3 linked regions of the Saccharomyces cerevisiae S288C genome follow. The protein of the gene in region 1 binds, or shares a complex with, the protein of each later gene. Each region holds a gene or a part of one and is shown in the gene's direction. Other genes may lie near its edges.

What was found. The genes of interacting proteins can lie anywhere in the genome.
Region 2: the proteins of REV3 (region 1) and REV7 are in contact, whole or in part, in a cryo-EM structure (PDB 7LXD), measured with the Saccharomyces cerevisiae proteins. Residues at the interface, in NP_015158.1 of Saccharomyces cerevisiae: Asn554 (codon at 4,905), Pro555 (codon at 4,908), Val556 (codon at 4,911), Asn560 (codon at 4,923), Lys561 (codon at 4,926), Pro562 (codon at 4,929), Tyr563 (codon at 4,932), His576 (codon at 4,971), Val577 (codon at 4,974), Ser578 (codon at 4,977), Ser591 (codon at 5,016), Val592 (codon at 5,019), Asn594 (codon at 5,025), Pro596 (codon at 5,031), Thr597 (codon at 5,034), Phe598 (codon at 5,037), Asp599 (codon at 5,040), Met600 (codon at 5,043), Phe601 (codon at 5,046), Ser602 (codon at 5,049), Ser603 (codon at 5,052), Trp604 (codon at 5,055), Lys605 (codon at 5,058), Tyr606 (codon at 5,061), Ala607 (codon at 5,064), Leu608 (codon at 5,067), Pro610 (codon at 5,073), Pro611 (codon at 5,076), Thr612 (codon at 5,079), Tyr613 (codon at 5,082); in NP_012127.1 of Saccharomyces cerevisiae: Asn25 (codon at 3,450), Val26 (codon at 3,453), Tyr27 (codon at 3,456), Pro28 (codon at 3,459), Gln30 (codon at 3,465), Ser31 (codon at 3,468), Asn49 (codon at 3,522), Arg50 (codon at 3,525), His51 (codon at 3,528), Pro52 (codon at 3,531), Leu54 (codon at 3,537), Tyr57 (codon at 3,546), Glu60 (codon at 3,555), Leu61 (codon at 3,558), Asp64 (codon at 3,567), Tyr73 (codon at 3,594), Cys78 (codon at 3,609), Lys82 (codon at 3,621), Asp137 (codon at 3,786), Phe141 (codon at 3,798), Glu142 (codon at 3,801), Ala143 (codon at 3,804), Val144 (codon at 3,807), Ile145 (codon at 3,810), Asn146 (codon at 3,813), Ala147 (codon at 3,816), Ile148 (codon at 3,819), Glu149 (codon at 3,822), Leu150 (codon at 3,825), Glu151 (codon at 3,828).
Region 3: the proteins of REV3 (region 1) and POL31 are in contact, whole or in part, in a cryo-EM structure (PDB 7LXD), measured with the Saccharomyces cerevisiae proteins. Residues at the interface, in NP_015158.1 of Saccharomyces cerevisiae: Glu722 (codon at 5,409), Asp723 (codon at 5,412), Thr725 (codon at 5,418), Thr728 (codon at 5,427), Lys729 (codon at 5,430), His732 (codon at 5,439), Cys733 (codon at 5,442), Phe846 (codon at 5,781), His850 (codon at 5,793), Lys851 (codon at 5,796), Arg852 (codon at 5,799), Lys868 (codon at 5,847), Ser870 (codon at 5,853), Thr871 (codon at 5,856), Lys875 (codon at 5,868), Thr1423 (codon at 7,512), Thr1425 (codon at 7,518), Leu1426 (codon at 7,521), Ser1427 (codon at 7,524), Leu1429 (codon at 7,530), Ile1430 (codon at 7,533), Leu1433 (codon at 7,542), Lys1434 (codon at 7,545), Gln1436 (codon at 7,551), Lys1437 (codon at 7,554), Tyr1439 (codon at 7,560), Gln1440 (codon at 7,563), Lys1443 (codon at 7,572), Val1445 (codon at 7,578), Arg1447 (codon at 7,584); in NP_012539.1 of Saccharomyces cerevisiae: Ser51 (codon at 3,886), Gln52 (codon at 3,889), Tyr53 (codon at 3,892), Tyr54 (codon at 3,895), Tyr57 (codon at 3,904), Gln58 (codon at 3,907), Val93 (codon at 4,012), Leu94 (codon at 4,015), Gln97 (codon at 4,024), Tyr109 (codon at 4,060), Cys110 (codon at 4,063), Glu111 (codon at 4,066), Met112 (codon at 4,069), Lys113 (codon at 4,072), Tyr114 (codon at 4,075), Thr126 (codon at 4,111), Tyr127 (codon at 4,114), Gly128 (codon at 4,117), Ala129 (codon at 4,120), Pro130 (codon at 4,123), Leu132 (codon at 4,129), Thr133 (codon at 4,132), Lys134 (codon at 4,135), Tyr136 (codon at 4,141), Thr137 (codon at 4,144), Glu140 (codon at 4,153), Gly141 (codon at 4,156), Glu149 (codon at 4,180), Glu151 (codon at 4,186), Ser152 (codon at 4,189).

What each region holds. Positions count from the first base shown.
Region 1 is NC_001148.4:229,983-240,352, reverse strand, and holds REV3 (DNA-directed DNA polymerase), read left to right. Parts: upstream 1-3,245; coding exon 3,246-7,760; downstream 7,761-10,370. Other genes in the region: mismatch repair protein MLH3, read left to right, coding at 1-1,003; SET6 (Set6p), read left to right, coding at 1,276-2,397; ATG29 (Atg29p), read right to left, coding at 2,374-3,015; MRX4 (Mrx4p), read right to left, coding at 7,844-9,136; MEX67 (Mex67p), read left to right, coding at 9,515-10,370. UniProt on the Saccharomyces cerevisiae protein: Nonessential DNA polymerase. Required for DNA damage induced mutagenesis. Involved in DNA repair, mitochondrial DNA repair and translesion synthesis.
Region 2 is NC_001141.2:86,207-92,093, reverse strand, and holds REV7 (Rev7p), read left to right. Parts: upstream 1-3,377; coding exon 3,378-4,115; downstream 4,116-5,887. Other genes in the region: TMA108 (Tma108p), read left to right, coding at 1-2,146; tropomyosin TPM2, read left to right, coding at 2,379-2,864; AXL2 (Axl2p), read right to left, coding at 4,257-5,887. UniProt on the Saccharomyces cerevisiae protein: Required for DNA damage induced mutagenesis. Involved in DNA repair, mitochondrial DNA repair and translesion synthesis. Has a role in the bypass of abasic (AP) sites.
Region 3 is NC_001142.9:445,467-452,437, forward strand, and holds POL31 (DNA-directed DNA polymerase delta subunit POL31), read left to right. Parts: upstream 1-3,735; coding exon 3,736-5,199; downstream 5,200-6,971. Other genes in the region: APL1 (Apl1p), read left to right, coding at 457-2,559; LSO1 (Lso1p), read right to left, coding at 3,011-3,292; SUI2 (translation initiation factor eIF2 subunit alpha), read left to right, coding at 5,554-6,468; MHO1 (Mho1p), read left to right, coding at 6,964-6,971. UniProt on the Saccharomyces cerevisiae protein: DNA polymerase delta (DNA polymerase III) participates in chromosomal DNA replication.

The sequences.
Region 1 (10,370 bases):
TTCATCTTTCGAAATAGTCAATTGTTCACAGAAGACGGCAACATTGCCTGATAGTCGAATCCAAATCAGTAAACGTAATCAAGTATTAAATTCAAAAATGAAGATTGCACGCATTAATTCATACATAGGAAAACCCGCTGTCAATGGATGTAGAATAAACAATAGTACAATAAACTACGAAAAAATCAAGAATATAAGAATCGACGGTCAGAAATCAAGGTTACGGAATAAACTCTCTTCCAGGCCCTACGATAGTGGTTTTACAGAAGATTATGACAGTATAGGAAAAACCATAACAGATTTTTCAATATCAAGATCTGTCCTGGCAAAATATGAAGTGATTAATCAAGTAGATAAAAAATTTATTCTCATACGTTGTTTAGACCAATCTATTCATAATTGCCCACTATTAGTTCTAGTTGATCAACATGCTTGCGATGAGAGGATAAGACTAGAAGAGCTATTTTATAGCCTGTTGACAGAAGTTGTAACCGGAACTTTTGTTGCACGAGACCTCAAGGATTGTTGCATTGAAGTTGATCGTACTGAGGCTGACTTATTTAAGCATTATCAAAGTGAATTTAAAAAGTGGGGAATTGGCTATGAAACAATTGAGGGAACAATGGAAACCTCACTTTTGGAAATTAAAACACTGCCTGAGATGTTAACTTCCAAATATAACGGGGATAAAGACTACTTAAAAATGGTCTTGCTGCAACATGCTCATGACCTGAAGGATTTCAAAAAACTTCCAATGGATTTATCCCATTTCGAAAACTACACTTCGGTTGATAAATTATATTGGTGGAAGTACTCAAGCTGCGTTCCAACGGTCTTTCATGAAATTCTTAACAGCAAGGCATGCAGATCTGCTGTTATGTTTGGAGATGAATTAACCCGGCAAGAGTGCATAATTTTAATTAGCAAGCTCTCGCGATGCCATAACCCATTCGAATGCGCCCACGGGAGACCTTCTATGGTACCCATTGCAGAATTGAAGTAAAGAGAACCTTAATCCTGGAACAAGGTTTGTCGCCTGCATTTTAAATTGCGCGGATATGCAAAACAGAAGATTACCTCATCACGTTGTCAAAACCTGGAAAAATTTAAAAAACAAAAACAAAAAAGAAACGTGCGATACAATACTGCTCCACTGTTGCATTACCGTTTTATGTATCTCTGATATTATAAATGTAGCCCTAGATTTATATGAATATATATATATATATATATACCATTTATATATGCAAACACAAAATAACCTAAAATTTAAAAATGACTATTGATGGAGACGTACATGAAATTTCCCCATTTTTCCAGGTTAGGCAAACTAAATGGGGCGGTAGGGCTTGTTTCAGTAATGGTAATATTCCTAAAGGGACAACAGTCTTGCAAGTCAGTAATTTTACAGGAACATCTATTTCCTATGAGTTCAGGAAGGAAGTTTGTCACAATTGTTTCGCATACGCTAATGCGAAAACTATGAAGTACAAACTAAACTACGATTACCTGAGAGATTTGGTTTGTAATGCACACTACCAAATTAACCCTAAGAAGTTTCTGGGCGCTGGACTGTGGTTCTGTTCAGAACATTGCAGAACTTCTTATCTTCAAATACCAAATATCATTGAATTAATTGAATGTTATGAGATATTACTGCATCATTTTCCAAGCATGCTGAAAAGATATAATTATACCTCTGAACAGGAGGAAAAATTAAACTCTATCTTAATTTCGGAAAATGTCATACAGTCTTCATGGGATGAGATTGAAAGTAAATGGATACCGCGCATCAACAACATGAAATCTGCGAAGAGAATAAATCAATTACCACCCACTTGCGAAGATGAATATTGCTGCATTAGGTTTGTGTGCGAGAGTTTGTTTAATCTTAAATATATGGATCCTCAGTGCATAACATACCGAGCTTTCAATATGTTACAATCGAATGAGCTTAGCAAAATATCTAAATTTCCTGTCTTACTGCACTTTCAAAAATTAGTATTTCAAACACTCTATATTCTATTACCTTCACATTTGCATAGAATGCTCTCCATACCGCTATTGAGACATATATTAGGTACTGAATATGGGAATGCTTTTGGTTTATGGCAAGAGGGCGAAGCCTCAGACAGCAGAGAATATTTTGGATACTGGGTATTTCCAGAAGCCTCCTATTTCAACCACTCTTGTAACCCCAATATAACGAAATATCGTAAAGGTAATTCAATGCTATTCACTATGAATAGAGATATAAAAAAGGATGAGCAGATCTGTATCGATTATTCCGGGGTACTGGACTTACCAACAGTAAAACGCCGGGCCTTTTTGGCCGACAGTTGGTTTTTTGATTGTGCTTGTGAAAGATGTAAATCAGAATTGCAATCTGTCCATTAGCGCTTCTTCCAACGCAGATTTACTAACACTTAAGCTCGAAGATAAATCGTCATCTGAACTACCGCACTCCATTTCTTTATTAATACCATCCTTATCCAATTTGTCATTAGGCTTATTCTCACTATCCGATGTTTTCTTGTGAATGTTCAAAATTTTGGAAGTTTGCAAATGTTGTAACGCCTCATTTGTTACTTCTGTCTCAACTTCTTCAGAATCCTGTCTTTCCGTGGTCAGTGGGCTTGCGGATACATTTAATAGATTATCATTTTGTAAAGTAGGGGTATATTTATGTATTAAATCAGACATCCCTTCATTCACTTGATCATTTGAATACTTCTCAAGATCTCTTTTTTTCTCCAATTGTAGTTGTAAAAGCTCTAAGTGTTCAGCAAATAATTTATATGTTCTCTTTTTAAGAAAAAATTCAGGCGTTTCAAATATTTTTGATAAATTCTGCCAATCTATTTGATCTTGTGAATAATTCAAATTTGATACCATTGTCCAAAGCTGTCGCTCCTTTGTTCCATTCCACTCAAATTTGGGAGGATCCAAGAATCCCTGTGGTCTCCTACCCTTAACTTTGATATATACAACTGTGTTTGTACTATTCATAATCATGAAAGTCAAGTAGGAAAATGCACAGCAGTACAATTATGTATGTCTCTTCTTGATAAGTATTCACTAACACCCCTTTATTTTCACCTTGAATCATTTTTTTGACGAGTGCAGTGCGTCTAGAAATAGTGTACTTGAAGAAAAAAGCCATCTCTGTAATAGAAGCACAAAACAAGAGAAAGTATTTGAGTCAATACAAAACTACAAGTTGTGGCGAAATAAAATGTTTGGAAATGTCGAGGGAGTCGAACGACACAATACAGAGCGATACGGTTAGATCATCCTCTAAATCAGACTATTTTAGAATCCAGCTAAATAATCAAGACTACTATATGTCAAAACCCACCTTTTTGGACCCATCGCACGGTGAAAGCCTGCCCTTAAACCAGTTTTCACAGGTCCCAAACATCAGGGTGTTTGGTGCTTTACCCACAGGGCATCAAGTATTGTGCCACGTCCATGGCATTCTACCTTACATGTTCATCAAGTATGATGGACAAATAACTGACACGAGTACATTGAGACACCAAAGATGTGCCCAAGTTCATAAAACGCTGGAAGTAAAAATTAGGGCATCCTTTAAAAGGAAAAAAGATGATAAACACGATTTAGCCGGCGACAAACTTGGAAATCTCAATTTTGTCGCTGATGTCTCTGTTGTAAAGGGTATACCATTTTATGGTTACCACGTTGGCTGGAATCTGTTTTACAAAATTTCTTTGCTTAATCCTTCTTGTCTAAGTAGGATTTCGGAATTGATTAGAGATGGCAAGATTTTCGGAAAGAAATTCGAAATTTATGAATCACATATTCCTTACTTGCTACAATGGACCGCAGATTTTAACTTATTTGGATGTTCATGGATAAACGTGGATAGGTGTTATTTTCGCTCTCCTGTTTTAAATAGTATACTGGACATAGATAAGCTGACAATTAATGATGATCTTCAGTTGTTACTAGATCGATTTTGTGACTTCAAGTGTAACGTACTCAGTAGAAGGGATTTTCCACGGGTTGGAAATGGATTGATTGAGATAGATATACTACCGCAATTCATCAAAAATAGAGAAAAGTTACAGCATAGAGATATACATCACGACTTTTTGGAAAAACTGGGAGATATTTCTGACATACCTGTCAAACCATATGTATCCTCTGCTAGGGACATGATAAATGAACTTACCATGCAACGAGAGGAGTTGTCCTTGAAGGAATATAAAGAACCACCAGAAACAAAGCGCCATGTGAGTGGTCATCAATGGCAATCTTCTGGAGAGTTCGAAGCGTTTTATAAGAAAGCACAACATAAAACAAGTACTTTTGATGGTCAAATACCAAATTTTGAGAACTTTATAGATAAGAATCAAAAATTCTCAGCCATAAATACGCCCTATGAAGCATTACCGCAATTGTGGCCAAGGCTTCCACAGATTGAAATAAACAATAATAGTATGCAAGATAAAAAGAACGACGACCAAGTTAATGCATCGTTCACCGAATACGAGATATGTGGTGTTGATAATGAGAACGAAGGTGTAAAAGGAAGCAATATAAAGTCTCGGTCTTATTCATGGTTACCGGAAAGCATTGCGTCTCCGAAAGATTCTACTATACTATTAGATCATCAAACAAAATATCACAATACGATAAATTTTTCAATGGATTGTGCTATGACGCAAAATATGGCAAGTAAACGAAAACTTAGATCATCTGTTTCTGCTAATAAAACATCGTTGCTGTCTCGGAAAAGAAAGAAGGTTATGGCTGCGGGATTACGCTATGGAAAAAGAGCCTTTGTTTATGGTGAGCCTCCTTTCGGTTATCAAGATATTCTGAATAAATTGGAAGACGAGGGATTCCCAAAAATAGACTATAAGGACCCTTTCTTTTCGAATCCAGTTGATCTAGAAAATAAACCTTACGCGTACGCAGGTAAGAGGTTTGAAATAAGCTCGACACATGTATCAACGAGAATACCCGTCCAATTTGGGGGAGAGACCGTATCAGTTTATAACAAGCCAACTTTCGACATGTTTTCCTCCTGGAAATATGCGTTAAAACCACCTACGTATGATGCTGTTCAAAAATGGTACAATAAAGTACCCTCGATGGGAAACAAAAAAACTGAGTCTCAGATAAGCATGCACACCCCTCATAGTAAGTTTTTATACAAATTTGCTAGTGACGTTTCTGGAAAACAAAAAAGAAAAAAAAGTAGCGTTCACGATTCTCTTACTCATCTGACACTTGAGATTCATGCAAACACGAGAAGTGATAAAATTCCAGACCCTGCAATAGATGAAGTTTCCATGATTATATGGTGTCTTGAAGAAGAAACTTTCCCTTTAGATTTGGATATCGCTTACGAAGGGATTATGATAGTCCACAAAGCTTCTGAGGATAGTACATTTCCTACTAAAATTCAACATTGTATTAACGAAATTCCCGTGATGTTCTATGAAAGTGAATTTGAAATGTTTGAGGCTCTAACTGATTTGGTATTACTTCTTGATCCTGATATTCTTTCCGGTTTCGAAATACATAATTTTTCGTGGGGTTATATAATTGAAAGGTGTCAAAAAATACATCAATTTGACATTGTCAGGGAACTTGCCAGAGTCAAATGCCAAATTAAGACGAAGTTGTCAGATACTTGGGGATATGCCCATTCCTCAGGAATTATGATTACCGGAAGACATATGATTAATATATGGAGAGCGTTGAGGTCCGACGTAAATTTAACGCAATATACTATTGAAAGTGCTGCGTTCAATATCCTCCATAAACGATTACCTCACTTTTCATTTGAGTCATTAACTAATATGTGGAACGCTAAAAAGAGCACAACCGAATTAAAGACTGTGTTAAATTATTGGTTATCAAGAGCTCAGATAAATATACAACTATTAAGAAAGCAGGATTACATTGCTCGAAATATCGAACAGGCAAGATTGATAGGAATAGATTTCCATTCTGTATATTACAGAGGATCACAATTTAAAGTTGAGTCTTTTTTAATCCGAATATGCAAGTCCGAAAGTTTTATCCTTCTTTCTCCAGGCAAAAAGGATGTTCGTAAGCAAAAAGCACTTGAATGTGTGCCTTTGGTTATGGAGCCAGAATCTGCTTTCTACAAAAGTCCTTTAATTGTGCTGGATTTCCAATCATTGTATCCATCCATTATGATTGGATACAACTATTGCTATTCGACTATGATAGGAAGAGTGCGAGAAATAAACTTAACGGAAAATAACCTTGGAGTATCTAAGTTTTCATTACCAAGAAACATTTTAGCTTTATTAAAAAATGATGTAACTATCGCTCCAAATGGTGTTGTTTATGCCAAGACCTCTGTTAGAAAATCAACGTTATCCAAAATGTTAACAGATATCCTTGATGTCAGAGTGATGATAAAGAAAACAATGAACGAAATAGGTGATGACAACACTACCCTAAAAAGGCTTTTGAATAACAAACAGTTAGCACTAAAATTATTGGCGAATGTCACCTACGGTTATACATCAGCTTCATTTTCTGGACGAATGCCATGCTCTGATTTAGCTGATAGCATTGTACAAACAGGCAGAGAAACATTGGAGAAAGCAATAGATATTATTGAGAAAGATGAAACTTGGAACGCCAAAGTTGTCTATGGAGACACAGATAGTTTATTTGTATATCTACCTGGAAAAACTGCTATTGAGGCTTTTTCTATAGGACATGCTATGGCAGAAAGAGTTACTCAAAACAATCCAAAACCAATCTTTTTGAAGTTTGAAAAAGTATACCATCCCTCCATATTAATTAGCAAAAAAAGGTACGTAGGATTTTCCTATGAAAGTCCTTCGCAGACCCTTCCTATTTTTGATGCTAAGGGTATTGAAACTGTTAGAAGGGATGGTATCCCAGCCCAGCAGAAGATTATTGAAAAATGTATTCGATTACTTTTTCAAACCAAAGACCTGTCAAAAATAAAAAAGTATCTTCAAAATGAATTTTTTAAGATTCAAATAGGAAAGGTATCTGCCCAAGATTTTTGTTTTGCAAAAGAAGTTAAATTAGGAGCGTATAAAAGCGAAAAGACAGCCCCTGCAGGTGCCGTGGTTGTAAAAAGAAGAATAAATGAAGACCATAGAGCAGAACCCCAATACAAGGAGCGTATACCTTACCTTGTTGTTAAAGGAAAGCAAGGACAACTGCTTCGGGAAAGATGCGTATCACCAGAAGAGTTCTTAGAAGGTGAGAATTTAGAGTTAGATTCGGAGTATTATATAAACAAAATTCTGATACCTCCTCTTGATAGATTGTTCAATTTGATTGGTATAAATGTTGGCAACTGGGCTCAGGAAATAGTAAAATCCAAAAGGGCGAGCACAACTACTACAAAAGTGGAAAACATAACAAGAGTAGGAACTTCTGCAACATGTTGTAATTGTGGTGAAGAATTGACTAAAATATGTTCACTTCAGTTATGTGATGACTGTTTAGAGAAAAGAAGCACCACAACCTTATCATTTCTCATAAAGAAATTAAAGAGACAAAAAGAATACCAAACACTAAAGACCGTGTGCAGGACGTGCAGTTATCGTTACACTTCCGATGCAGGCATCGAAAATGACCATATAGCTAGTAAATGCAATTCATATGACTGTCCAGTATTTTACTCTCGTGTCAAAGCAGAAAGATACTTGAGAGATAATCAATCTGTTCAAAGGGAAGAAGCATTAATATCTCTAAATGATTGGTAATCTAGACACAGATATGTCTCGCAAAATGATGAGTAGTTATTTGTTTCTATGTATAACGTTGTTATATACAAGAAAGAAAAAAATCATTTCTTTGATTCTTGACGTTGAGATAGACGGTATCTATAATATGCAAAAAAGGAGGCCAGCAATGCTGAGAGTGAAATAAGGAATCTCTTTGAATTAGTGAAAGACTTTTGAGGAATCTTCGTATCCTCTAAGAGTGGATTGCTACTTTGAAAAACTACAATTTTATTATTATCGTATAAGTTCCCCACACATTTCCAACCTTTTAATTCGATCTCATTAATTTCGTTCAAAACTCTATCTGGTGGGGACCCAGATGCATTAATAACGCCAAATAAGTCCGTAAAATTGATGTTAAAGACACTGTGATCAAAGTTGTTTGACAGGGTCATATCCTTATTGTTTTCTAATGAGTGTAACAATATGTTATTCCCTTGAAGTACTTTTTTAGTAGTTTTACTCTTTTTTCCTCCTCCGTTTGAACCTAAAAATACACTTATTCCATTTTGTAAACGTTTCCATAAGCGATTGGGTTCCCTTTTGAATAAGATATTTCCAGCTGATAAGGGTACTATTTCGGAGAAGGATTGAGTATTCCATTGATATATACGAGCTTGATTCTTTTTTTGTTTATCGATGGCACTTTTTTGACGTGCCTTCTTTTCAATATTTTGTAGATAGCGTTTTAGGGAGTTTATATCGATATCTACGTGGTTTTGTTGCGAGGCACCCACTGAAGTCCTGCTTTCCTCATTTTTCTGTAAGTAAAGTGATATTTTCTGATAAACCTCCTCATCATTACACATATCTAAGTTCAAAGAGTGTAGAAGTTCCTTAATATGCATCTTCCTGCTCGGGTGAAGATCCATATTCTCTGCTTTTCGATTTCTTAGTTCAACTTTCTTCTTTTCTTCCTGCGGTGTTATGTCTCGAGGAATAGCAACATTGACAGGACCGGCTGCCAGGTTCATTCCTTCTAATATGTCTTTGTCTGTTAATCGATGTGTTAGTAATAATTTGTTAAGAATTTGCACGTTAGTTTGGAGAGGATTTATCGCGTTCTTCTTACCTTCTCCTTTATATCCGCGCACTAGACTTGTTATGAGATTAATTTCCATTGCAGAAAACTTGGTCTTACCTTTGCCCATGGCAGACTGGTATATTGTGTTTTTGAAGGCCTTTATACGCACTGAATCAGGAGTTTTTGAGTCAAATATATTAAATACATTCCGTCCTCCAAATTTTGCACCTCCACTTCTTGCATGAGATACTGTTCGTACGCAATTCATGCCCATGTTGAATGCCAAGCACTTCATTTTTTTCAGCGATGCAGATGTGTATAAAACTGTCATTTTGAACAGTACTTCCTCCTTCCTTTAAGTTGAATGGAACCAAGTTTATTCCACCAAAGCTCAGAAAAGAAGCAAAGAACAGAAAATTTCTACGAATATTAATTCTGAAGAAACTTAAACGCGGCTTCAAAAGCTAGAAATCCATGCCCACTTGCCTTTCGTAGAGGATTCTAACGATAAATATACCTACAGATTATACTGTTATATAAGATCATCATTACCCGTCTTCCTTTTTTTTCCAGAAGAAAATTTCAGTAAGAGCTGAATTGAGTATGTAGAAAAAAAAATAGTAACAGACTGTTGAAGACATACTTACTCTAAGAAGGAAGAGTAAAATAAATCGTTAAAAATTCTGCATCGCTAATAGCAGCAAAAAAAATGAGCGGATTTCACAATGTTGGAAATATCAATATGATGGCTCAACAGCAGATGCAACAAAATAGAATAAAGATTAGCGTGAGGAACTGGCAGAATGCAACCATGAACGATTTGATTAATTTTATAAGCCGCAACGCTCGAGTAGCTGTTTATGACGCTCATGTGGAAGGACCTTTAGTTATTGGATATGTCAACTCAAAGGCAGAAGCAGAATCGTTAATGAAATGGAACGGTGTCCGGTTTGCAGGCAGTAATTTAAAGTTCGAACTTTTAGATAACAATGGGGCCTCTGCGGGAACTTCAGACACCATTTCGTTCTTGAGGGGGGTGCTCCTTAAGAGGTATGACCCACAAACAAAATTACTAAATTTGGGCGCTTTACATTCAGATCCCGAGCTAATTCAAAAGGGCGTCTTTAGTTCCATCTCCACCCAGTCTAAGATGTTTCCAGCAATGATGAAACTGGCTTCTACAGAAAAAAGTTTGATAGTGGAAAGTGTCAATCTTGCTGACAACCAACTTAAGGACATCTCAGCAATTTCCACATTGGCTCAAACATTTCCTAATTTGAAAAACCTCTGTCTGGCCAACAATCAGATTTTTAGATTTAGATCGCTAGAAGTTTGGAAGAACAAATTCAAAGATCTAAGAGAGCTTTTGATGACAAATAACCCGATAACCACCGATAAGTTGTATCGCACTGAAATGTTAAGATTATTTCCGAAATTGGTTGTACTAGATAACGTGATTGTGAGAGACGAACAAAAATTGCAAACCGTTTACTCATTACCGATGAAGATTCAACAGTTTTTTTTCGAAAACGATGCATTAGGGCAATCATCTACAGACTTTGCAA
Region 2 (5,887 bases), on another chromosome or scaffold:
GGAAATCAAGTTGGAAGGTGATAGGACTATTCCCGTTTCAATTTATGCACCTTGGGATATTGCTAATGCAGCTTTCACTTTAGATACAGTCCAGAAATATCTACCTTTGTTGGAATCCTATTTTAAATGTCCATACCCTCTGCCAAAGTTAGATTTCGTCCTACTACCATATTTAAGTGACATGGCAATGGAGAACTTTGGTATGATCACCATCCAACTAAACCACCTGCTCATACCACCAAATGCCTTGGCCAATGAAACCGTCAGAGAGCAAGCACAGCAACTCATTGTCCACGAACTCGTTCATCAATGGATGGGCAACTACATATCTTTTGACTCGTGGGAATCTCTTTGGTTTAATGAGTCTTTCGCTACTTGGTTAGCTTGCCACATACTAGAACAGAATGGTGACCTATCCCATTATTGGACCTCGGAACCTTATTTACTACAGCAAGTGGAGCCGACCATGTGCAGAGATGCAGCTGACGTTAATGGAAGAAGCATATTTCAGATTGCGCAACGGAACACTGGCATAGATTCTCAAACCTCCGATATTTTTGATCCTGAGGCATACACAAAGGGTATTATCATGCTGAGGTCCCTGCAATTGGCTACAGGCGAATCTCATCTACAAAAGGGCCTGGAAAGTGTATTTGAAGATACTAAAACATTTCATGCGAGAAGCGTCAAACCAATGGATATATGGAATCATATCGGAAAATTTTTGAAGTCTCAAAATATTACAAACTTTGTTTCATCTTGGACAAGAACGCCAGGCTTACCTGTCGTTAAGGTCGAAGTAGAAGAGAAAGACGGGAAAACGCAAACAAAATTGACTCAACACAGATTTATCAATCAATTATCTACTGAAGAAAAGGATCAGTTAGAAGATGTCCCATATCAGGTACCCTTATTCGGGGTTCTGCCAGATGGTAAAATGGATACTAAAAATGTACTATTGACGGATAGGACCTTAAAGTTCGATTATCCTATCTTAGTAATTAACCATTTAGCCCAAGGTTATTACCGCGTTTCATATGAGTCCGAAGAGTGCTATGCATTGATTAATGATAAAATAACTGAGGAGACGTTATCCGAGATTGACCTTCGGAAGATTTTCTTAGACTTGTCGCAGTTTATTGGAGATGAGGGTTTCCAGAATTCTATTCATTTGCACGGTCTCTTTAAGATACTAAACCATATCGCTTCTCCTTCCACAAAGATTGCATCAAAATATTGGGATCCTCTTTCCAAGGGGTTGGAAGTTCTGCAAACGATCGATCGTGCCAGTTTAACGAGCTCTAAATTACAATCTTTCTTAAAGAAAAAAATTGTCATTCCCCTTTTCAATAAGATTGATTGGCCCCACGGTGAATTTGATAAAAGCACAAACCCTCACGAGTTGAAAGTCATGTCTCAAGTCTTGTTTTTAAATAAAAACTCCGCAAAATGTGCTGAATTGTGTCAAATTTATTTTAAACATCTATTACAGGGCCCACGTTCGAGCGTACCGTTAGAATTAGTGAACTCAATCCTTGTCGTCGTATCGCAACATTGTGCAAACATCAAGCAGTGGAAGAAAATATTCGATTTGGTGAAACGCAGTTCCTGTACTGGTATCACAAACCATGTCATTAATATGTATGACCAAAACAGTAGCGAAACCGCCATGTTGATTCAAAACGGTGCAATAGAATCTCTTGGATTCTGTTTAGATTCTGATATCGTGAAAAAAACTTTGAATTTTATCACTTCCAATATTGAGTCAGAGGGGATGGAACTGGCATTATTCGGATTTAATTACAACTTTAAGAAGAGGCTGAACAAAAACGAGAAACCTCAAGACCAAGTCGTTCGTGAAACGATCTGGGAGTGGTATATGGGCAATTTTGACCAATGGGCACGGAAGGCTACAAGGAAAGGTACCACCACGGGGGATCATCTACACAAGGCGTTAAGGAGTATTTCCCTGATAATCTTTCAAATGTTTGTAGCAGACGAGCCACAGAAGATAGAAAAGTTTATTAATTTGGAGAAAGAGAAGTTGGGTCAAAGCTTGTTATCTTTGGACGACATCTGGGCCTCTGTCCAGCAAGATGAAGAGTCCAGAAAGACTATAAGAAGAGACTTGGCCTCCTTGGTCTGATTTTTTACAAGTATTTCAACACACTATCGTACGTAGATTTAGTAGTCTTCTAAAATAGTACTATAAACGATGTTCTCTTAGCAGAATTCGAGTTATTATTGTCATATACTACGAAAAACCTGTAGATTCAACAATAATAGGTTGGTATAAAAGAATGTAAACATAAGGAATATTAATCTAGTAATTTTTTTCTCATGAGGTTGAGAAAGCATCTAAAATAGCAATTAGCAAAATGGAGAAGATCAAAGAGAAATTGAATAGCTTAAAATTAGAATCTGAGTCATGGCAAGAAAAATATGAGGAGCTGAGAGAACAGCTCAAAGAATTAGAGCAATCTAACACTGAAAAAGAAAACGAGATTAAATCTTTGTCCGCTAAAAACGAGCAACTCGACAGTGAAGTGGAGAAGTTAGAGAGTCAATTGTCTGATACAAAGCAATTGGCTGAAGACTCCAATAACTTGAGATCTAATAATGAGAACTACACCAAGAAAAACCAGGATCTAGAACAACAGCTAGAAGACAGTGAAGCCAAACTGAAGGAAGCAATGGATAAACTGAAAGAGGCCGATTTGAACTCTGAGCAAATGGGTAGAAGGATCGTTGCTTTGGAAGAAGAAAGAGATGAATGGGAAAAGAAGTGCGAAGAATTCCAAAGCAAATATGAAGAAGCTCAAAAAGAATTGGACGAAATTGCTAATTCATTGGAAAATTTATGATTCCCATTGATAAGACTAAAATTACGGAAGATACAAACGACAAACGCGCTAAAGGCAACGGAGGTGATGATTTTATTATTGCTCACACAACTGATGTTGCTGACAGATGGCAAATCCTTTTCATTTTAGTTATTATCATTGGGTGCTTTTTGGAAAAAAGATGAACTAAGCCTCTCTTTATTTCGTCCATTTTATTCTAGCTTTTACATTATGCTTTCACCTTTACCAAAAAATAGTATGTATTTCTTTTCCCCTTGCTATAAATCAAAAGTACGTAGAAACATAAACAGGCGAGAAATACATATGCATATACGTCTACACTACTAATTTAATTTCCACTTTCTTAATATCAGTCAATCGAAACCACTAGCTTTCACACTAAGACTAGACCCTGTTTAACTAATATAAACTTTTCCAGAAAGCTAAAAAAAAGGTCGGAAAAAGAAGGTATACGTTTTTGCGACGACTGAGATCCAAGAAGAAAAAAAAAATAGTAATCGTTGCGTCAGCTTTATGAATAGATGGGTAGAGAAGTGGCTGAGGGTATACTTAAAATGCTACATTAATTTGATTTTATTTTATAGAAATGTATACCCACCTCAGTCATTCGACTACACTACTTACCAGTCATTCAACTTGCCGCAGTTCGTTCCCATTAATAGGCATCCTGCTTTAATTGACTATATAGAAGAACTTATACTGGATGTTCTTTCTAAATTAACGCACGTTTACAGATTTTCCATCTGCATTATTAATAAAAAGAACGATTTATGCATTGAAAAATACGTTTTAGATTTTAGTGAATTACAACATGTGGATAAAGACGATCAGATCATTACGGAAACTGAAGTGTTCGACGAATTCCGATCTTCCTTAAATAGTTTGATTATGCATTTGGAGAAATTACCTAAAGTCAACGATGACACAATAACATTTGAAGCAGTTATTAATGCGATCGAATTGGAACTAGGACATAAGTTGGACAGAAACAGGAGGGTCGATAGTTTGGAGGAAAAAGCAGAAATTGAAAGGGATTCAAACTGGGTTAAATGTCAAGAAGATGAAAATTTACCAGACAATAATGGTTTTCAACCTCCTAAAATAAAACTCACTTCTTTAGTCGGTTCTGACGTGGGGCCTTTGATTATTCATCAGTTTAGTGAAAAATTAATCAGCGGTGACGACAAAATTTTGAATGGAGTGTATTCTCAATATGAAGAGGGCGAGAGCATTTTTGGATCTTTGTTTTAAGTGCAAAAATGAAATTTGAAGAATGGAATTAAAATTAAATGTCTCTAAGTATAAAAACTAAATAAAATATAGGGTATCTGTAAACCACTAATAAAAAATAAAACAGGAAAATAAAATTAAGCAAAATATCGTTGCGTATAATCACAGCATTTCTGGGATGCGTCCGTGAATGTCCTTAACTTGACCAACATTGACATTACTCTTATTTGAAAAATCTACTAACCTTTTCTTACTTGGTCTTCTGTCTGGTTCCATGCTATGGACCCAGCAAAAATTTTCACCATCTTTAACCGGAACAAAATCGTCAGAAGATGAAGTTGACATTGTTGTGGGAGTGATTCCGTTTTTACCGCTTTGAGAGTCTTGAATATTTTGTAAGTGGCGGTTACGATGCTTCGTTACGTTATATGGTGATGGTGTTACTGATTTTCTTACGGGAGAAGGGCTAATATTGCTGTTCCAAGGGTCCAGTGAAGACATAGTGACATCCCTTGACGTACGTTTTTCCTTCTCTGGTGCTTCTAAATCGAAAAGTTTTTCTGTATCAACAGTTTTTTGTGATCCGTAACTGTCTCTGACAATATCAGAGACTGGTGACAGGTTGCCAGTATATCGCCAGGATTTATTTACTGCTGGTTCACTATCCATATACACAGAAGAAGACCTATTCTGTGGGTCAAAGAACGGGCTCTCTGGAGGCTGTACTGGGGGTTTTGCTAATAATTCTTCTTTACTTTGGGATTGGAACTGATCATTGTATGTATTCATACCTGATAGAGAATCTCTCTTTTCATCCACGCTGGAAATATCAGATTCAGTGGCAGAGTGGTTATCCAATTTCAAAGTGTTCAAAGCAGCCAATCTTCTTGCTATTGAAGTATCATCGTACGAGGAAGCATCATCATCAAAGGGGTTGTTCAAAGGTGTAGCGTTTTCTTGATTTGGTTTATTTGCAGGATTATTCAAATCAGGTCCACTAATAGCATGCGGTAAGTTTTCATCGTCTGGATTTTCCCTTCTGCGTCTCCAGAATATTAGGAAGCAAATGAGAGCTACTAGGATAACGCCTAATGGGATAGCAACACCGCACGCAATTGCTACTGCTTTTTTATTGTGAGATGAAGTTTTATTGGCTGCTGGCAGCGCTGCTGGAGCAGAAGAAGTAGCAGCAGCGGAGGTAGAAGAAATTTTTGCAGTGTAAGTAGAAGATGTGTAAGAACTTGTTGAGGTGGAGTGGTGAGAACTTCTTGTGGACGTTGCATTCGCACTGTGGTTTGAGTGAGTTATCTTTGAATCCATGCCAATGATGTTAAAATATAGCTCTTGAGATTGTGAACCTTGGTTCGCTTTCAAACCTAATGAAAGCTTGTCGAAATTCTTGGGCACTTCTCCAGCTAATGTTAAATTAGATGATTGGAATTTCACCCAGTCATGGTCTTGGCTTGAATTAGTAAACTCTAATGAAACGTTTGTATTCACGTAGTCTGTAAACTGAGAAGGCAAAAAATAGTAGGAGAACCATTCACCCCTTGTAGCGTTAATATTGGGAAGAGAACTAATGGCAAACAAATCCGTTGTGGAGACAACTTCGAAGTTGAAATAAATCACATCACCATAAGTATCATAAATGGACACAGAAAAATTGGCAGGATTGGAGTTCTTACCGAGTAATTCATCTGGGACAGACCCGGAAATGGTAGCATTATCTAATGCCACCCAGTCTGGAGCATCCAATAAGTTTATAGAACCCAATTTATCAGAAGAAATAGGAT
Region 3 (6,971 bases), on another chromosome or scaffold:
ATTCATAGTGGTCTTGGTAATGAATAATGCATATGTATACTCTTCTTAACGCCTTATCTTATGTAACCATACACTTTTTTAGTAAGGTTTCAATTAAGCTACTATTCTCAATTAAATACTGCTCTGAGCTAGATAAGGCCTATTGAAGTTGGAGGATTAGATGGATAGAAATAAGGAACTAAATCGTCAAGTTCGAAAGCCTATTCCCATTCATGCATATCACTTACCTTTCCTTAATCATGATCTCTTTAGTGCCATCAGAACTATTTTCTTAACATCGCGATTCTGTCTTCCGGGTATCGCTCCAAAAATGTGCGAGGAAATAGGAGATCGTTCAAATCATCAACTTTTAGTATTGGGTATCAAAGTATCGCAGCCTGGAAACAGAATTAATCTACTGCACAAGAAGGGAATACAGCAAGAACATTCACTTCATTAATAGGACGTATTTCGCTTATGTCCGATCAAAAAGTTTTTGCCAGATATAAAGCAAATGAAATCGTCACAGATCTGCAACATTTTGGAGTAAAAAAGTTTAAATCGAATATAACAAGAAGGAAAAATGCTCTGAGAAAAATTATCGCCAATTTGGTTCTAGGAAACTATGGCGAAATGTCCGTTCTGTTTTCTGAGCTCTTGAAATTTTGGCAAATTGAAGATGATCTAGAAGTGAAAAGAATTTGCCATGAGTATATTAGGGTGATCGGCGCATTAAAACCTCAGCAGGCCAGAGAGGCTTTGCCATTTATAATGGACGATTTCAAAAGCAGAGATGAAAAGTTACAAATAATGGCACTAAGAACTCTGGTATTAGTCCCGGTGAAAGAGCTATCTGATCAGGCCTTCGACTGTATCATTTCATTGGTAAATCACAAGTCTCCACCTGAACAAGTGACGAGGACAGCAATTTACGCACTGTTGGATTTAGATGAAATTGATCATGAAAGGGTATTGGGGTTATCAAGCATTCTACATGACATTGTAAAAGCACAGTCGAGCTCTCCAGAAGTCATTGTAGCTGCATTACATACTTTATATTCCATTCACGAAAAAAACGCTAACATGGAACCCTTCAGGATTCCCTTGGAACTCGCTTTTGACATGCTAGAGCTTTTACCCGAATTAAATGAGTGGAATAAGGCTACTGTTTTGGAAGTTTTGACGACTTCGGTTGTGCCGCAGCATTATTTGGATACCCATGAAATGATCGAACTAGCTTTACCGTACCTGCAACAAGTAAACACATACGTAGTGTTGAACTCTTTAAAATTCATCATGTACTTGTTGAATTATGTTGACGTCATCAAAGAAACTCTAGCCGAAAAGCTATCTAACTCTGTAATAGCTTTGTTAGATAAGCCGCCTGAATTACAATTTTTAGTATTAAGAAACGTTATTCTTCTTTTATTGAGTAGGGAGTCATCTCTACTCAGGCTAGACATTTCGTATTTTTTCATCGAGTACAATGACCCCATATACATCAAAGACACGAAATTAGAGTGTTTATATCTTTTAGCTAACAAGGAAACATTACCAAGAATTCTAGAAGAGTTGGAACAATATGCTACAGATATTGATATTCAAATGTCAAGGAAATCAGTCAGAGCCATTGGTAATCTGGCTGTTAAGCTAGATGAAGACTCTGTACACGATTGTGTCGCTGTTCTACTAGATTTGTTAGAATTCGGTGTTGATTATGTCGTCCAGGAGATTATTTCGGTTTTCAGAAATATTTTGAGGAAATATCCCAATAATTTTAAAGCAAACGTAACAGAACTAGTCAAACACACTGAAGTTGTACAGGAACCTGAATCAAAAAACGCTATGATCTGGATAATAACGCAATATTCGGATGTAATTCCAAACTACCTGGAGTTATTTAGAGTTTTTTCCTCAAACATGTTTAGTGAGACGCTAGAAGTGCAATTTTCCATTCTGAACTCAGCAATAAAATTCTTCATCAGAAGTCCTACAAAGGAAACTGAAGAACTTTGTATGGATTTATTAAAAGGATGCATCGATCACGAAAATAATCCTGACTTAAGAGATAAAACACTGATGTATTGGAGATTGCTGTCATTAACGAAAACGTCTCGTATATCAAACGCGATAACTTTTGAATCTTTAAAATCAGTACTGGACGGAGAGTTGCCACTAATAGAAATGAACACGAAATTAGATCCCACCGTTTTGGAGGAATTGGAGCTAAACATTGGTACAATAGTATCGATTTACTTAAAACCTGTTTCTCATATCTTTAGATTGAATAAAACCAAACTGCTACCACAAAGTCCTATTTTGAATCCAAACAAAGACCTCTTGCCAGTTGTAGGTAACTCATTTCCTCCAACTGGAGCTAATAGGGACCGTCAAAATTCAGAAAGCCAGTCCTCGACGAAGTCCAGAAAGACTGCTATGATGGATGATTATGATAAGCCCGCTGAAAAAATTAATCAGTTGAAAGGTAAGCGTAAATCTAGTTCAAACAACCCCTCAAAACTATCACGGAAACCCTCAACTTTATTAAGAAAACTCTCTATGAAACGGCCCTTTTCGTGACTGCAAATGATACTAATTCCTGTATTTAAATATACTCATATTTAACGAACAATTATGATGAATGAAAAAACCTGATATAATAGACTTAACTAAGCGATCATAAAAAAATTCAAAAAGTTATTTTATAAAACAATTCAGATGTTAAACTAAAGAGTTAATGTAATATATATACAATGAACTGCGTCATAAATTCCCATAGTTCAGCTCATGGGACATTATCTACTTATAAAGACGTGGCTTGGCAGCATTTCATATATAAGGCTACTGAATGTAAATTTTTCTTCCATTGTCTTTCCCGTGTCCCGAGAACTCAATTCAAGCACTGTTCTTGGGCGTAATAAACCTTCCGGTACTACTAAAATCAGACAAAGGCAGGAAGCCTCGATTTGACCTTTTAACGGGTAAAGCTCTAAAAGTTGCTCTCTGCTCCATATTCTCGTTTTCCGTCATTTCAGTATCTTTTTCCCCTGCCTCCCTTACCTAAAGCTTCCTCTTCGGCGGCTAGTAATTGGTCTCTTTCCTTTTTGGCTCTTAGCTTCTCTGTCTTTTTTTGTTCCATAATCAGCTTCTTCTGGTTAGGGGTTCTCGCACCTTCTTCCCACCTCTGAGCTTCTTGAGCTTCTAGTTGTTGTTTCTCTAGTTGGTCCTTTTCGTAAGCTTGCCTACGTTTTCTTGCTCTTCCTGCTGCCACTTTTTTGGCAGTTTCTGAGTATCTCTTGCCAGTATTATGCATGTTCGCTTCTTCACTATGTTTGGTGGTTTCTAATGACAACTATGCGGTTAGCAAACTTCCAAAAGGCGGTTAATAATACGACTACACATTATCCTATATATATATATATATGTACGCAAGTGCTTAGATTGGAAAAAAGGGTGCAACATTCTCGATTGTTCTATTTCAGCCTGTTGATATCAATCTGTCGTTCAATGCTTTGTGGGTGTGCTTTACCCACTCTTATACAGTAGTTAAGTGGCAAAAAGGGTGTCAAAGGGAAAGGAAAACCAGAGGAAAAGCAAAATAGCCGCCAATACTAACTCTAGATTTATATCATGTTATACGATTAATCAGACGCGTCTGATTAATTTCAAAAGTTAAAATATAAACTATTTTTGAAATCCCATTGCAATAAGCGAACTATAGCTGAATCTTTCCTGCAAAAATGGAAGTGAAGGGCAATGGACGCATTGTTAACAAAGTTCAACGAGGATAGAAGTCTCCAAGATGAAAACTTGTCCCAACCACGAACGAGAGTAAGAATTGTTGACGACAATCTTTACAACAAATCGAATCCATTCCAACTATGCTATAAAAAACGTGACTACGGTTCTCAGTACTACCACATTTATCAATACCGTCTAAAGACTTTCAGAGAACGCGTCTTAAAAGAATGTGACAAGAGATGGGATGCGGGCTTTACCTTGAATGGCCAATTAGTTCTAAAAAAGGACAAAGTGTTAGATATTCAGGGAAACCAACCATGTTGGTGCGTAGGATCCATATATTGCGAGATGAAATATAAACCAAACGTACTGGACGAAGTGATCAATGATACATATGGTGCACCAGATTTAACTAAAAGTTATACTGATAAAGAGGGTGGTTCTGATGAAATTATGCTCGAAGATGAAAGTGGGAGAGTGCTTCTAGTGGGAGATTTTATTCGGTCTACACCCTTCATCACGGGTGTTGTTGTAGGTATACTGGGTATGGAAGCTGAAGCCGGGACATTTCAAGTTTTAGACATATGCTACCCCACTCCTTTACCACAAAATCCTTTCCCTGCACCAATTGCTACCTGCCCCACCAGGGGAAAAATTGCTCTTGTTTCTGGGTTAAACCTCAATAATACATCACCTGATAGGCTATTGAGATTGGAGATTTTGAGAGAATTTTTGATGGGGAGAATCAATAACAAAATTGACGACATTTCTCTAATTGGTAGATTACTGATATGCGGCAACTCTGTTGACTTCGACATTAAAAGCGTGAACAAAGACGAATTGATGATTTCTCTAACTGAGTTCAGTAAATTTCTACACAACATTTTGCCATCTATATCTGTTGATATTATGCCCGGAACCAATGATCCAAGTGACAAATCTCTACCGCAACAGCCTTTCCACAAATCATTGTTTGATAAGTCCCTAGAATCATACTTCAACGGTTCTAACAAAGAAATTTTGAATTTAGTGACCAACCCATATGAGTTTAGCTATAATGGCGTAGACGTTCTAGCCGTTTCAGGCAAAAATATCAATGATATTTGTAAATACGTAATACCATCAAATGATAACGGAGAAAGTGAAAACAAGGTCGAGGAGGGCGAGAGTAATGATTTCAAAGACGATATAGAGCATCGCCTGGACCTTATGGAATGTACAATGAAATGGCAAAACATCGCGCCCACCGCACCTGATACCTTATGGTGTTATCCGTACACTGATAAGGATCCATTTGTATTGGATAAGTGGCCCCACGTTTACATTGTGGCAAACCAGCCATATTTTGGAACAAGAGTAGTGGAAATAGGTGGTAAGAACATAAAGATAATATCTGTCCCTGAATTCAGTTCTACTGGGATGATAATATTACTGGATTTGGAAACGTTAGAAGCAGAGACGGTCAAGATTGACATTTAAATAAAACAAGGAATAATTTCCACATAGATATGCAATTAAGTTTTATATGTAAAAGTGAGCATTCATCGTTCAGCTCAAAATACGTTTCTTGTCACAGCTGGTAGAAAAACTATGAGCGTTTTTTCTTACCCGCAGTCGGAGAAAAATTTTTTCTTCGAAGAGGCGAAAAAGAGAAGAAGAGAAAGCACAAATCTGATGAAATAGTAGTATAAAATCGCATTTACAAATTTTCAACCATTGTTTATTTCCTAGGTCATTAAAGAGTAAAGTGCAATCTGTTTACTAATCAGTTTTTGTCTTCATATTTTTGTGTCTTTTCTGCTGCCTCACGCACCTTCTATAATACACCAAATAATGTCCACTTCTCATTGCAGATTTTATGAAAACAAATACCCAGAAATTGACGATATCGTCATGGTTAACGTCCAGCAGATTGCTGAAATGGGTGCTTATGTTAAATTGTTAGAATATGACAACATTGAAGGTATGATTCTACTAAGTGAATTGTCCCGTAGACGTATTAGGTCAATCCAAAAATTAATTCGTGTTGGTAAAAATGATGTCGCCGTTGTTCTTCGTGTCGACAAAGAAAAAGGTTATATTGATTTGTCCAAACGTCGTGTTTCTTCTGAAGATATCATTAAATGTGAAGAAAAATACCAAAAATCTAAGACTGTTCATTCCATTTTAAGATACTGTGCCGAAAAATTCCAAATCCCTTTGGAAGAACTATATAAGACCATTGCTTGGCCATTAAGTCGAAAATTTGGTCACGCTTACGAAGCTTTCAAACTATCCATCATTGACGAAACTGTTTGGGAAGGTATTGAACCGCCATCAAAAGATGTTTTAGATGAATTAAAGAACTATATCTCCAAGAGATTAACACCACAAGCTGTAAAGATTAGAGCCGATGTTGAAGTGTCTTGTTTTAGTTACGAAGGTATCGATGCCATTAAAGACGCATTAAAATCAGCTGAAGACATGTCCACAGAACAAATGCAAGTTAAAGTTAAATTAGTCGCCGCCCCATTATATGTTTTGACCACCCAAGCCTTGGATAAGCAAAAAGGTATTGAACAACTGGAAAGCGCTATTGAAAAAATTACAGAGGTTATTACAAAATACGGCGGTGTTTGCAACATTACCATGCCACCAAAGGCTGTCACTGCTACTGAAGACGCTGAGTTACAAGCTCTATTAGAAAGCAAAGAATTAGATAATAGATCTGACTCTGAAGACGATGAGGATGAGTCAGACGACGAGTAATCATTGCCGCGCCTAATTTTTCTAGGTGTTTTCAAGTGTCATACTGTTTTAGAAAATTTTGTATAGAACAAATACGTATATCCTGCCATATCATATTCTTTGCAATATACACCTTGTACATTTGGCTATTATAAATATTACAATCCATTTAATCATAATCAAAATTTAATTTCTGTTACCACGGGGTTGTCAGTGGAGCATGCCCTGCCGGTTCTCTATAATTTATCTTTTTCACATGAGATATTTTTACCTCAAAAGGTAGTGATGCTGTAATAATATGAGGCTCCCCCCTTTCCTTCGGAATTGCATTTAAATCATTGGGGAACACTAAGACAAGACAAAGGGGCCGTCCACTCATGTGATTTTCAACAAAACAGATAACATGCGGATACACACTGATATATTTTCAAAGGAAAGTCTGACTGATACTTAAGTGAAGTGGTCCTAGTCGGTGGCTTAGGTGGACTACAGTGCAAAGAATAGAATTTTTCAAACATGTCAAT